3 linked regions of the Callithrix jacchus genome follow. The protein of the gene in region 2 purifies or fractionates together with the protein of the main gene of each other region. This does not show direct contact. Links are inferred from orthologs where the notes say so. Each region holds a gene or a part of one and is shown on either strand. Other genes may lie near its edges.

The links.
Region 1: the proteins of PPP2R1A (region 2) and PPFIA3 purify together in Homo sapiens (affinity purification with mass spectrometry; 4 studies listed by BioGRID and IntAct, with this or other methods). This does not show direct contact. The link is inferred for Callithrix jacchus from reciprocal best matches to the Homo sapiens genes PPP2R1A and PPFIA3.
Region 3: the proteins of PPP2R1A (region 2) and PPP2R2D purify together in Homo sapiens (affinity purification with mass spectrometry; 9 studies listed by BioGRID and IntAct, counting the BioPlex papers as one, with this or other methods). This does not show direct contact. The link is inferred for Callithrix jacchus from reciprocal best matches to the Homo sapiens genes PPP2R1A and PPP2R2D.

Annotation. Positions count from the first base shown.
Region 1 is NC_133523.1:42,941,748-42,946,504, forward strand, and holds part of PPFIA3 (liprin-alpha-3), read left to right. Parts: intron 1-131; coding exon 132-353; intron 354-2,945; coding exon 2,946-3,092; intron 3,093-3,180; coding exon 3,181-3,315; intron 3,316-3,750; coding exon 3,751-3,834; intron 3,835-3,984; coding exon 3,985-4,116; intron 4,117-4,587; coding exon 4,588-4,650; intron 4,651-4,757. UniProt on the Homo sapiens protein: May regulate the disassembly of focal adhesions. May localize receptor-like tyrosine phosphatases type 2A at specific sites on the plasma membrane, possibly regulating their interaction with the extracellular environment and their association with substrates.
Region 2 is NC_133523.1:45,600,265-45,605,021, forward strand, and holds part of PPP2R1A (serine/threonine-protein phosphatase 2A 65 kDa regulatory subunit A alpha isoform), read left to right. Parts: intron 1-3,703; coding exon 3,704-3,877; intron 3,878-4,126; coding exon 4,127-4,187; intron 4,188-4,757. UniProt on the Homo sapiens protein: The PR65 subunit of protein phosphatase 2A serves as a scaffolding molecule to coordinate the assembly of the catalytic subunit and a variable regulatory B subunit.
Region 3 is NC_133513.1:125,246,173-125,250,929, reverse strand, and holds part of PPP2R2D (serine/threonine-protein phosphatase 2A 55 kDa regulatory subunit B delta isoform), read right to left. Parts: exon of another isoform or gene 4,748-4,757; intron 1,824-4,747; exon of another isoform or gene 1,652-1,823; intron 1,014-1,651; coding exon 836-1,013; intron 1-835. UniProt on the Homo sapiens protein: Substrate-recognition subunit of protein phosphatase 2A (PP2A) that plays a key role in cell cycle by controlling mitosis entry and exit. Involved in chromosome clustering during late mitosis by mediating dephosphorylation of MKI67.

The DNA of each region.
Region 1 (4,757 bases), about 2.7 Mb from region 2:
CCCGTGGACTCTGACCTGCATGATCTTTATTGATCTTTGATCGACTTTCAGCTGATTGACTTTCTCCTTGCATTCCCTCTGTGTCTCTGGGAGACACTCTGGGATGTTGTCCCTTCTTTCCCTCACTCCAGACTCTTGCCAATGGCCTGGGTCCTGCCGGGGATTCCAACCGGCGCACAGCAGAACTGGAGGAGGCCCTGGAGCGGCAGCGCGCCGAGGTGTGCCAGCTGCGGGAGCGCCTGGCGGTGTTGTGCCGTCAGATGAGCCAGCTGGAGGAGGAGCTGGGCACTGCGCACCGCGAGCTGGGCAAGGCGGAGGAAGCCAACTCCAAGCTGCAGCGCGACCTCAAGGAGGTGAGGCCCAGGGAGGTGGGCTGCCTTCCATCGCTCGCCTTTCCGTAGCCCTCTCTCTTGTGCATTGCTCATGAATGGTGGAACTTCAATTCAGTCCACAGGCGGGGTGGCTCCTCCTCTCTCAGATTTAGTTTCCTCACCTGTGAAAGGAGATGTGTGATTCTCAGAGGGTGAGCGTGTGGCACAGAGTAGGCGCTCCATGTCTGCTCGTCATCACTTTGTTACCTCTGGGTCCTTCTCTGGTGCCTCGAAATTAATTTTTTTGTTTTGTGGGGGAAAGAGTTTTGCTCCATATCCCAGGCTGGAGTGCAGTGGCATGATCTCAGCTCACTGTAACCTCTGCCTCCTGGGTTCAAGTGATTCGCCTGCCTCAGCCTCCTGAATAGCTGGGATTACAGGCGGGTGTCACCATGCCCAGCTAATTTTTATATTTTTAGTAAAGACGGGTTTCACTGTGTTGGCCAGGACGGTCTTAATCTCTTGACCTCGTGATACGCCCACTTCAGCCTCCCAAAGTGCTGGGATTACAGGAGTGAGCCACCATGCGCCCAGACTGTTTTTTTTTTTTTTTTTTTTTGAGATGGAGTCTAGTTCTGTCGCCCAGGCCGGAGTGCAGTGGTGCGATCTTAGCTCACTGTAACCTCACTGTAACCTCTGTCTCCCAGTTCAGGTGATTCTCCTGCCTTAGCCTCCTGAGTAGCTGGGACTACAGGTGTGCCCCACCACTCCTGGCTAGTTTTTGCTTTGTTTCTTTCTTTCTTTGTATCTTTAATAGAAAGGGGGTTTCACCATATTGGCCAGGCTAGTCTCGAACCCCTGACCTCAAGTGATCTGCTCACATCAGCCTCCCAAAGTACTGGGATTACAGGTGTGAGCCACGTCGTCCAGCCTCTAGATGGAATCTTTTGTGGTTATTTCACCCCTTCCTGGCTTAGGACACTTTATCCTAAACCCGGTGACCCTAGGGAGCTTCTGGGATATTCAGAACTGGATCTTTATTTATTTATTTATTTATGTATTGAGATGGAGTCTCGCTCTGGAGTGCATGGTGCGATCTTGGCTCACTGCAACCTCCACCTCCCAGGTTCAAGTGATTCTCCTGCCTCAGCCTTCGGAGTCCCTGAGATTACAGGCGTTTGCCACAATGCCCGGCTTAGTAGAGCCAAGCTTTCACCATCTTGGCCAGGATGGTCTCAATCCCTTGACCTTGTGATCCACCCACCTCGGGCTTCCAAAGTGCTGTGATTACAGGTGTGCGCCACCGCGCCTGGCGGGACCTGGATTCTTGACGGCAGTGGATGAGGACTAGGACTAGCCTGGGCAACATAGCGAGATCCAGTCTCTATTAAAAAAAAAAAAAAAAATTAGCCGCGTGTGGTGGCAGGTGTTTGTAGTCCCAGCCACTAGGGAGGCCGAGGCATGAGAATCGCTTGAGCTTGGGAGGTGGACGTTGCAGTGAGCGGAGATGGTACCACTGCACTCCAGCCAGGGTGATAAGTGAGACTATCAAAATCCAGCCAGGATGATAGAGCTACACTGTCCACAACAACAACAAAAGAGGCCAGGCGCGGTGGCTCATGCCTGTAATCGCGGCACTTTGGGAGGCCGAGTTGGGTGGATCACTTGAGGTCAGGAGTTCAAGCCTGGCCAACATGGTGAAACTCTGTCTCTGCTAAAAAAAAAAAATACCAAAATTAGCCAGGTATGGTGGCATTCCCCTGTAGTTTCAGATACTCGGGAGGCTGAGGCAGGAGAATTGCCTGAAACCGCTAGGTAGAGGTTGCAGTAAGCCGAGACCGCGCCACTGGACTCCAGCCTGGGTGACAGAGCAAGACTCCCTCTCAAAAAAAAAAAAAAAAAAAAAAAAAAAAAAAAAGGGCCAGCGTAGTGGCTCACGCCTGTAATCCCAGCACTTTGGGAGGCCGAGGTGGGTGGATCACTTGAGGTCAGGAGTTCGAGACCAGCCTAGCCAACATGGTGAAACCCCATATTAAAGAAAAGAAAAAACGAAAAGAGAGACTTCATGTGGGATTTTAAGCCTGGATAGCCGCGGGGGCTGTTGGGAAATGTAGCATGTAGCCCACCACATGGACTACCAGATTGAGGATCCATCTCTCATGAGATCTTGGAGCACCTCTTTTGGGGTTCTAAGCCTTTGCTAACCTGGTAGCTCTTGGGAGGTGTTGCCTTCTAGGTAAAAGGGATCCTTATTTCTCAGAAGACCCCGGGACACTGGTCTTTGATTCTAAGTCTGTACTGCTCCAGAAATTAGTGAGAAATCTAAGGCCCGGGTTTTGAGGAGACGGCTGGAGTGGAGACTTCACATCCCACGGGTCTCAGACCCTGTAAACCTGGAGGATCCGAGCCTGCAGTGCCCTGGAAGCTCATGGCAGGTGTAGCACCAGCATTTTAGCTCGCAGGTGGTGGCAGGGACTGAAGATGGGCTAGTCCTGGGAGCTCTTAGCAGGTGTATTACCACCATTCTGACTCCTGTGTCAGGGCACTTGGTTTTCCAGGGCACCGCAGAGTGCCTTGTCTGCTCCCCTAGGGGCTGACAGTCCACACGGCCTTTTGCCACCTCCACCTCTGCAGGCGCTGGCTCAGCGGGAAGATATGGAGGAGCGGATCACGACGCTGGAGAAGCGCTATCTGAGTGCCCAGCGCGAGGCCACGTCTCTGCACGACGCCAACGACAAACTGGAGAACGAGTTGGCCAGCAAGGAGTCACTGTACCGGCAGGTGGGGGCTCAACCCGGGAGGGGCGATGGGGTCGTCGCCGGGGCCCAAGTGACCCAGCCTGTCCTCTCCCCGCCTCTCCCTCCCTCAGAGTGAAGAGAAGAGCCGTCAGCTGGCCGAGTGGTTGGACGACGCCAAGCAGAAACTGCAGCAGACGCTGCAGAAGGCGGAGACCTTGCCGGAGATAGAGGCGCAGCTGGCACAGCGCGTGGCGGCGCTCAACAAGGTGTGGGGACGACTCGGGTTGGGGATGGGGCGGGGTCTTGCATGGGGGGAGGGGTGGGGCCCAGAGGAGGCGGGATGGTGAATCTGGAAGGTAGGAGCCAGGTCCGAAGCCTGAATTTGGGGGAAGAGGTGGGGCCCAGGGGGCTGGGAAAGGGACAGAACTTAGAATGGGGAGAGCCTGGATGATTGCACGGGGGACAGATGAGAGCCGGGTTCTCTAACCTGGACTGAAAGGACTGGTGGCCTGGGACCTGAGAGGGAAGGACCAGGTCCTGAAAAAGTGGACTAGACGTAGGTGGGGCCTGAATCAGCGGTGCAGGGGAGGAGCCTGGTGCTTTGGGGGCGTGGCCTGGTGTCCATCCTTGGAGGAGGTGGGGCTCAGAGCCTGACTGATCCTGGAAGGGTAAAGTCACAGGCCATGGGTTCCATCCTCTAGGCCGAGGAACGTCATGGGAATTTCGAGGAGCGGCTTCGGCAGCTGGAGGCCCAGTTGGAAGAGAAGAATCAGGAGCTGCAGCGGGTGAGAGGGCAGAGGGCTGCATAGAGGGTGGGGCTTCGAGCCTGGGGCGGAGCTTAGTGGGGGTTGGGCATGGCCAGGGCGGGGCTTAGAACAAGGGCGGTGCTCTGGGCGGGGTGGGCTTGAGCACCCCCGACCCGCTCTGCTATTCAGGCCAGGCAGCGGGAGAAGATGAATGATGACCACAATAAGCGGCTGTCCGAGACGGTGGACAAGCTGCTGAGCGAGTCCAACGAGCGCTTACAGCTTCATCTCAAGGAGCGCATGGGGGCGCTGGAGGAGAAGGTGCGTCCCAACCCAGGACTGTGGGGACTCGGAATTCTGGGAATACCTGTCGGTGGAATCCTGGGTCCTCAGGCCTTTCCCCCAGATCTATTATTGGAGGCCTCCCTAAACCCCAGCATTTTGAGTTGGGCAGGCTTCTGTGCTCTATTGCGCAGACCGCTTTTTCACCTATTCTAGACGTTCCAAGAGCCGAATTCTGCGGATCATGCCTTGAGTCCTTGACTTTTTCCAAAGCCTCCAACCCCATGGGCCCCCAACCCTGAACCCTCTGAGATTGCACAGGATGTCCCATCCTGAGGCTCCTCTTCCCAGAAACATTGTTGCCCCTGCTCGCCTGAAACTCACCATTTGTGTCCATCTCATTCCTCCTGGGTCCCCTCAGGCCTATCTGTGCTCATTGGGAGCTGCCTGCAGCTCCAAGGGCGTGCCCCCCTCAGGCCCCACCTCCTCACTTCACCTCTGTCCCCACAGAACTCTCTGAGCGAGGAGATTGCCAACATGAAGAAACTTCAGGATGAGCTGCTTCTAAACAAGGTAGGGTGCCCCGGGGGAACAGCAGGAGGATGTAGGGCAGGGGTTGCCGAGGCTATGGTCCACAAGGCTGGCAGGGGCTGTTCCTCCCGGGTGGAGCAGATGCTAAC
Region 2 (4,757 bases):
GTGGTGGTGGATTCCTGTAATCTCAGCTACTTGGGAGGCTGAGGCAGGAGACTCACTTGAACTCAGGAGGCAGAGGTTGCAATGAGCCAGTTTCACACCACTGCACTCCAGCCTGGATTTCAGAGCAATATTCTGTCTCTGAAAAAAAAATAATTATTATTATTTATGTTTTGAGATAAGGTCTTGCTCTGTTGTCCACACTGTACTGCAGTGGTGTGGTCGTGGTCCACTGCAGCCTTCACCTTCCAGGCTCAAGTGATCCTCCCATCTTAGCCTCCCAAGTAGCTGGGACTACCTACAGGCAAGAGCCACCATGCTTAGATAATTTTTAAAAAATTTTCTGGCCAGGTGTGGTGGCTCACGCCTGTAATCCAAGTGCTTTGGAGGCCAAGGCGGGCGGATCACCTGAGGTCAGGAGTTCAAGACCAGCCTGACCAAGATGGTGAAACCCCATCTTAAAAAAGTAATAAGATAAAATAAAGATAATTAAAAAAAATTTTTTTTTTGCTCTAGAGACAGGGGTCTTGCTGTGTTGATCAGGTTGGTCTTGGTATCTCGTTCTCAAGCAATTCTCCTTCCTTGGCTTCCAAAGGCCTGGGATTACAAGTGTGAAGTGCCACGCCCAGCCTAAAATAAGACAGTTTTGATCCTCAAAAGCCTTCAGAGACTGGCAGCAGAGACGTACAGGCAATCCCATGATGCCCTTAAGGTGTTAAAGGTGCTGTTACAGTTGAGTTCATGTTTTTTAGGGTTTAGGCTAAGGTGTTGTAATGGAGACCCCAGAATACCTTCTGGCTTAAATTAGATGGAGGATTTTTTTTTCTCTCATAGCAGTCTAGGCGGGCCTACACTGGTGGGTTTGCCCTGCTGACCTCAACTGTCTCAGAGTCTCAGGCAACTGCTCCAGTTTTTAGCATCTTAGCCGGCATGGAGGGGTCAGGCACAGACAACAGCAGACCCAGTTCTCTGAAGGACAAGATTCCCCACGCGTGCTTGTACCCCATACACCCATTGGCCAGGGAGGGTCACATGATCACATCTAGCAGTTCAGGTTACCTGGATTACAGAGGATGAGGGGAGGTGCTGGGTAATGACTAGAGAGATCATTGGGGTGACCACTGGGGAAGGAATTTGGACTTGACTCTGGGCAAGTGCAGGAGCCAGAATACAGTTGGTATTAGAAGGCACCCTAAGGCTTATGTAAAGGGAAGGTTAAAGTGAGGTGGCCAGCAGAAATGTAGGAAGACCAAACCAGAGGCTGCTGTGGGAGTCTGGAAGACTGAGGCTAGATTGAGGGTATGTAGAGAAAAGGCTGCAGTGATATGGAAGGATTCAAGATTGTTCGGGAGGTAGAGGGACCACATGGTGGTTTTTGCCTTGGTAGTGAAAAACTGGGCAGATGGTGCAATCGTTTGCTGGTATATGACGTCTTGGTTCCCAAAGGCCTCAATCCTTGGCTCTTCCCCATCCCCTTCTTTTCTGTACACAGGCGTGCTAGGAAGTTGGAGGAAATACTGTAACAGAAAGTATCACATTTCAGTCCCCCATGCCCCAAAAAGTTACGTTGTTCATTTACGCTACAGTGGAATAATCTCTTAGCCCCAGAATTAGTCAATTTTTTGATACATTGAAAAGAATGTGCGACAGGGCTGGTGGCTCATGCCTATAATCCAAGCACTTTGGAGGTCAAGGTGGGCAGAACACCTGAGGTCAGGAGTTCAAGACCACCTGGGGCAGATCACCTGAGGTCAGGAGTTCAAGACCAGCCTGACCAACATGGTGAAACCCCATCTTAAAAAAAAACGAAAAATGAAAAGAATGTGCTATTTTAAATATATTTTTTGTTCTGGGTTATTCCCTATTAATGGGTTATTAACAATGTGGGGTTTTTTTGTTTTTTTTTTTGTTTTTTTTTTTTTGAGAGGGCGTTTCGCTCTTGTTATCCAGGCTGGAGTGCAATGGCGCGATCTCGGCTCACTGCAACCTCAGCCTCCTGGGTTCAGGCAATTCTCCTGCCTCAGCCTCTGGAGTAGCTGGGATTACAGGCACGCGCCACCATGCCCAGCTAATTTTTTGTATTTTTAGTAGAGACGAGGTTTCACCATGTTGGCCAGGATGGTCTCGATCTCTTGACCTCGTGATCCACCCGCCTCGGCCTCCAAAAGTGCTGGGATTACAGGCTTGAGCCACCACACCTGGCATGTTTTTTGTTTTTTTGAGATGGAGTTCTTATTGCCCAGACTGTAGTGCAATGGCATGATCTTGGCTTGCCACAACCCCCACCTCTCGCTTGCAATCTATTCTCCATCCGCAGCCTCCTCAGTAGCTGGGATTACAGGCATGTGCCACCACGCCTGGCTAATTTTGTATTTTTATTAGAGACAGGATTTCTTCATGTTGGTCAGGCTGGTCTTGAACTCTTGACCTTAGGTGATCCGCCCGCCTCAGCCATGGCCCCGGCCCAAAGTGCTGGGATTACAGGCATGAGCCACCGCACCCATCCTACAGTATAGTATTTTTAATCAGTTATTTACATCAGTTGCTAAAAGTTTAAATCATCATTAATGTTCATGACAAATTTTATGACTTAAGTAATATATCTGAGTTATGCTTCACATGCACATATTTTCTTTTATAATCTTTTATAGATGTTATATATACAATTTTTATTTATTTTGATGCTTTAATGGCATAAGTTGGTAGGTGAGAGCCCCTCAAGTTGTCTGCTATGCCATTTCACACCTCTCCAGAGTTTTCGAGAGCATTTTGCCTCTGGCATCGGGAAGGATCCAGGCTCAGCCCAGTGTGAAGGCAAGCCCATACATGCTGCAAGTACACTAGAATTGAAGCATTTTTTGCTCTAGTTTCACCTTCAGCAAGCACGACATGGTAATCACATGCTGGCAGCCAGCCTGTCTCAGGGCAACTTCTTACAGAGAAAAAAAGAACCAGCATGGTTTTCTTAGTGTGAGGAATTCATCTGACTTGTATTTGGGACTTCCATTTTAGATTTATGAATTTTGTATTTCACATTTTGACTCTCACCAGAATTTATAAACTTGTCTAAATGAAAAAGTCTACTTTTTTCTTGGTGCACCAAAAAGAAGTCTTTTTAAATGGGTAAGGTGTATTCTCTGAACCTTCTCTTCTCATGCACTGAGCGCCTTGAGGCCACGCACCCAGGACAGGAGCTGGGCAAGGGCCAGTCCTATCTTCGGAATGTGCAGGGTTTGAACAGGCCAGGCCTGCCAGCCTTGTTACTTGGTTTATTGATTCATTTCAGTGCTCACTCATTTCTTTAGACTAGAATAGTTTTAATAAGGAAATAGTTTTCTTCCCTTCCCTCTCCCATGTTGTGGATTGATATCCAAAAATGAACCCTTGTTAAAAAGCAGCAGAGCTAGGATTAGAAGAAGCACGTCTGCCTTTTTTTTCCAGGGTGCTGTATTTAAGTCCTTTCAAAATGGATAAACATTTCTTGTGAGACTATTGTAAGGTTTAAAAATCTACTTACCTCAGTGATCCATGCTGCTGCTTTTTGTGTGCCTTTATTGTGTCCCCAGGACTGGGAGCTGGGCTTGGGCAGGTGTAGGGCCTCAGGAGATGTCCATTATACCAAGTTGATGCAGCTGAGCTCTTTCCACCCTGTCCTGGGTTGCTGGGTGCATGGCATTCTCTCAGAATCCTTCTTTCCTCTCCTCAGTGCCCTGAGGTACGGCTGAACATCATCTCCAACCTGGACTGTGTGAACGAGGTGATTGGCATCCGACAGCTGTCCCAGTCCCTGCTCCCTGCCATTGTGGAGCTGGCTGAGGATGCCAAGTGGCGGGTGCGGCTGGCCATCATTGAGTACATGCCCCTGCTGGCTGGACAGCTGGTGAGTAAGGAGGCCTGGGACCAGGCAGTGCTGCCTCAGGGGAGGTACAGTTTGTCCAGGGATGTGATGGGGAAACGGGGGGGCTTTGAAGGCTTAGTGGAGGCTATGACAACTGCCTGGGGAGTCAAAGGAAGGGACCCAGGAAATAGGGCCTTAAAAGGTAAATTGGATTCAATAAGAGAGAGGAGGAAAAGGAGCAGCTCTCCCTGTCTGCTCTCCCTGGAACCCTTACCTTGGTTTCTCTTGTAGGGAGTGGAGTTCTTTGATGAGAAACTTAACTCTTTGTGCATGGCCTGGCTTGTGGATCATGGTGAGTACCTCCATAGGAGCAGCAAGAGGAGATGGGAGCTCCAGAAAGGATAGATGGATTGGTTGGGGCTGTGGGAGCTCCCGAAAAGATGGATGGATTGGTTGGGGCTATGGGAGCTCCAGGAAGGATGGGTGGATTGGCTGGGGCTGTGGGAGCTCCAGAAAGGATGGATGGATTGGTTGGGGCTGGACTTACGGCGGGCAGTAGAGGAGGCTGGAATCACTCCCCGAGTCACTGGATGCTCATATGGACCAGCTCATTGCTTGTTAGAGCCTTAGAGAAGTATTGAGTGGGAGGAGGATAAAACATCACCCAGGGTTGCCTGGTATAGTGGAGAGCCAGAGGACCACTGAGCAGCCAGACCATGGTTTTGAATCCTGCCCTTGTGACCATCACATCTAAAGCAAGTCACTTTCCATCTTTGAATGAGCCTCACACTCATTCTTTGAAACTTCTTATTCTTTTTTTTTTTTTATTTTTGAGACGGAGTTTCGCTCTTGTTACCTCCTGAGTAGCTGGGACTACAGGCGCGCACCACCATGCCCAGCTAATTTTTGTATTTTTAGTAGA
Region 3 (4,757 bases), on a different chromosome or scaffold from region 2:
GGAAAAGCAAGCGAGCACCACCGGGGAGAATCCCACACTCCCACACGTAATTACAGACACAAGAATACCGCCGAATTCCAAAAGACGCTGCTTTTCTAATGACCTGACATTAAGAGCTTGTTCTGTGTAGTTAGAGCAAAGGCAACATAGCAGGCTACCCTATACAGAAATCCTCCAACTGAGAAAAATACAGGGCAGAATTCAGCGGTGGGCCAATTCAGACAGCAGGGCCAGCCTCACCCTTTTAGCTGAAACTACTAAGAAAATCAACACACGATGTGGAACCCCAGCTCAAGCCACGGGACAGCAGAGGGACGCATTGGATGGCAGGGCCCCGGGAGAGGCTGCAGACAAAACATGCCCCCTGCTCCCTGGCTGCTAGCTAGAAAGGAGCCCACGTGAGGATGGCGAGGACCCCCAGACCATGCACAGCCTCAGGAGAACACGGGTTCTCCCGGAAGCTGCTGCTCAGATGGGTGATTAAATGCCACTCTAACCTAAGCCAATATTTTCTATCATCCATCAGCAAATTCAGGAAAAAAAATAAATAAAAAAAGAACAAGTAATGTTGGTTTTTCAAATGCAGCCTATTTAAAACTATCTCTGATTAAACCAGGCAGGCAGTGGACTTCAGAGAACTGTTTCCAAACGTAGAAGGAAATCCGTATTTTTAGGAACAAATGTTTCAATTCACAGAGAACTTACATCGCAGGCCACTGTGCAGCAATGACATTTACGAGACTAGACTCAGATACAGGCGTGTAAAGAACAAGAGAAATCACCATCTAAAGAGCAGCCTCAAGGAAGATGCCAGTGTCCCTCTGAGGAAGGATACTAAAGCTTCTATCTGTGATTTCTAAGTGCCATAAATTAATTCTCAGGTCATCTGCAGAAAGATACGTTTCATGATCACTATTTACTGAAATGGAATTTATATGATATGTGTGAGCATTTGCAAAAATTCGCCGTGGACTCGCTTCTACCATTAGATCCATGGGCTTCAATATTGGGACCTAAAAATGGAAGGAAACAGGAATTCAAAACAAAGATCGCAGTGGCATAGAATTAAAACACTTACAGTAGATAACAGAGGAGGACAAGTTTGCGTCCATGGCTAAGTAAGAACTGCGTACAGGCAATACCTCTAAGTAACCACTTAGCAGTTATGAAAATAGGCTACAAAATGGAATACTCTATTCCAAGTCTTCCCCCTTGCTTCCATTGCTGAGGCTGACATGTTCCTGCTGAATAAAAAGCTGGCAGGCTAACAAGCTGCCCGGGCGCTGAGGCCTGCGCTCGCTCCCTCTCGTGTGTCCTCCAGTGGCCACACTGAGACGCTGGACAGCAAAGTCTTCCCCTCCCTTTGTCCTCTCCTTGCAGCCGGATGCACAAACCCTCCCTCACTGCACCAGGAGTATGCTTCTCGGAGCAAACCCCACAAGCCTCTGCCGGCTCCAGGGACTGCACAGGAGGGTGCACAGGAGGGCCCTGGGGAGCTGAGGATGTTCCATGTCTCAGTCTGGGGCTGGCTATATGGGCATGTCCAGTCAAATGGAGCTGGTCACTTATGGGGCACATGTATTATTATGGGGTATGTATTATATATTATACTTCATTTGTGGTTAAAACAAGTAAAAGGTACCTCCCGTACCCATTTCTGTGTTGAGTGCTGGGAAAGTCCATTTCCAATCACACTGAAATGGAAAGGACAGAGAAGAGGGTGCTGGCCGGAGGGCGCCTGTGGTCAGAGGCGAGAGCTCAGGCACGAGGAATAGCATCACACGTGAAAAAAGGAAAAGGGCCTGCATCTCACTAACATCCAGCTGGAAGAAAAGCATAAGCTTTAAAATCAAAACAAAAAAATTAATGATAGGATCTTTAGTTATTCTTGTAATTAGAAACCAAAAGGAAGAACCGTGAAAGCTTAGGGGAAAAAAATCTCTCAGCTGAGTCTTGTCTGGCTGATTTTATAGAAAATAAACTTGAAACAGTATGTACAGTGAGACTTCCCTGATTTTAACACAGTTAGTGCTGACCACACCCTTCGAGTCTCTAGAGAAAGGGTCAGGTCTACCAGGCTTAAAAACACACACCTGCCACAATCCTCTAACAAACCTCCAATTAATCAAAACACACGATACTTACAAAGATTCCTTCCTTTATTTAAAAAAAATTTCATTTACATACAAAATAATATGTTTTCATTTTTAGAGATGGGGTCTTGCTATGTTGCCCAGGCTGGTCTTGAACTTCGGGGCTCAAGTGACCCTCCCATCTCAGCCTCACAAAGTGCTGGGATTACAGGTATGAGCCCCCGCGCCTGGCCAAGACTCCTTCTTTTAATTACATCCCTTTCCTGGCACTAAAATGATTTAGACAAAAAATTTAAAAGCAGCAACATTTCTGACTCTTCCCCAGTTAGGGTTAGAATGCATTAACAGCCCACTCTGAACTGTAAGATCTCAAATACTGACCTAAGTCAATGTAGAGAATTATGTAGTCTGTGGTCTCTTCTCCGAGTACTGACTAATGAAATAACTACACTTCTCACATGCCTTCAGTAGGGCCACCTATTATACCTGTTTTATTTAGGCGAAACCTACAAAAGCAGCCTTAAATAAAACCAAGACTGGGCCTAATAAAGGCCTACTGTTTTCTCAAAACAAGCACGTGAGCTTGAGGGTGGTGGCGGGGTCCCATCAGGAGGAACAGGGGTTTCTGAGGGTGGGTTGTGCACATGTACCCCGTGGGAGATGGTGGGAGGTGCTGCTGGCTGCAGAGATGGACAAGGCTGGAGCAGGTCAAGTGCCCGCCCTTGGGGTCCCATCACTTCCAGTTTAGAATCAGTGCCCGCCCTCGGGGTCCCATCACTACCAGTTTAGAATCAGTGCCCGCCCTTGGGGTCCCATCACTACCAGTTTAGAATCAGTGCCTGCCCTCGGGGTCCCATCACTTCCAGTTTAGAATCAGTGCCCACCCTCAGGGTCCCATCACCTACCTCCAGTTTAGAATCAGTGCCCGCCCTTGGGGTCCCATCACTACCAGTTTAGAATCAGTGCCCGCCCTCGGGGTCCCATCACCTACCTCCAGTTTAGAATCAGTGCCCGCCCTCGGGGTCCCATCACTTCCAGTTTAGAATCAGTGCCCACCCTCAGGGTCCCATCACTTCCAGTTTAGAATCAGTGCCCGCCCTTGGGGTCCCATCACTTCCAGTTTAGAATCAGTGCCCGCCCTCGGGGTGTCTATCTCACTTCTCATTTAGGATTAGCAGTTTCATGATGGAACTGCATAGCTACTGTCACTATCACTAAGAACAATATACACTAATCCACGGACGCAAGAGCAGCGGTCCTGTGTGACAGACGTCACCCACAATTTAGATGAAAACATCCTGGTTCAAATTAGGACCCTATAAGCTAGATTTTCAGCAAATGCCACAGCCCTTCCCAGCTTTGATGAACTCAGGAAATACAGCGGTAGTATGGATGTGACAGGTCTGAGGACACTCCTCCTGGAGAGTGCCTAACCCCAGGTGCACCCGCCCTGCACAGCAAAGCTGGAGAAATGGCACCAGAACAGACCCAGCATCATTCCTAGGGGCACGTGTGTTAGCAGCGGCCTTCTGTGTGGCACTTCCAAAGACTAATGTGGAATGGGCTTGCTCACTCGGTCTTCACTTGATAAACAATAGTGTAATGGGGCTGAAATCTCATTAAAAGCCAGCCAACCAACCACCCCAACCACCCACCCAACCATTAACCAACTAACCAACCCACCCACCCACCCCAACCAAATCACTCAACCAACCACCCAACTGATTAACCAACCACCCAACCTATTAACCAACCAACCAACCCACTCACCTACCCCAACCAAACCACTCAACCAACCACCCAACCGATTAACCAACCACCCAACCTATTAACCAACCAACCAACCCACCCACCTACCCCAACCAAACCACTCAACCAACCACCCAACCGATTAACCAACCACCCAACCTATTAACCAACCAACCAACCCACCCACCTACCCCAACCAAACCACTCAACCAACCACCCAACCGATTAACCAACCACCCAACCTATTAACCAACCAACCAACACACCCACCTACCCCAACCAAACCACTCAACCAACCACCCAACCGATTAACCAACCACCCAACCTATTAACCAACCAACCAACACACCCACCTACCCCAACCAAACCACTCAATCGATTAACCAACAAACCACCCCAACCAATTAACTAATCAACCAATGGTTTTCAAATCGAATAATGGCACTCCCTTGGGACCAGGCAGGGTTTCCTTCCAGGGACACACCTCTGCACAGGTACTGGTTTCTCACCAAGACACACCTGGGCTTGAGTCCAGTCTGCCTGACACCCTTCACCATGTTCCATCTAATTTAAGACACCATCAGTGGTGTGCAGCACCAGTCAATCATAAGACCAAGGTTTTAAGTTTTACCCGATTTCATAGATGTTAAAATATGAAAAAATCTAGGCAGCAGAACTGATTATGCTCATTTCATACTGTATGGTGGTGGGGGCGGAGACGTACCAACAATGGAGCAAAGAGTTTAACAATTAAAAAGTAATGATGCTCATGGATGGACAGGGGAAGAGTTCTGAACTACCAGCAACTGCCTATGTCAACCCCAAAGAAATTCCACGAGAACCATCACCAAGGTGTCTTGGTGGTCCACAGTTTATCTTTAAATTTGCAAGGTATGCTATTTCACCTGTGAAGTG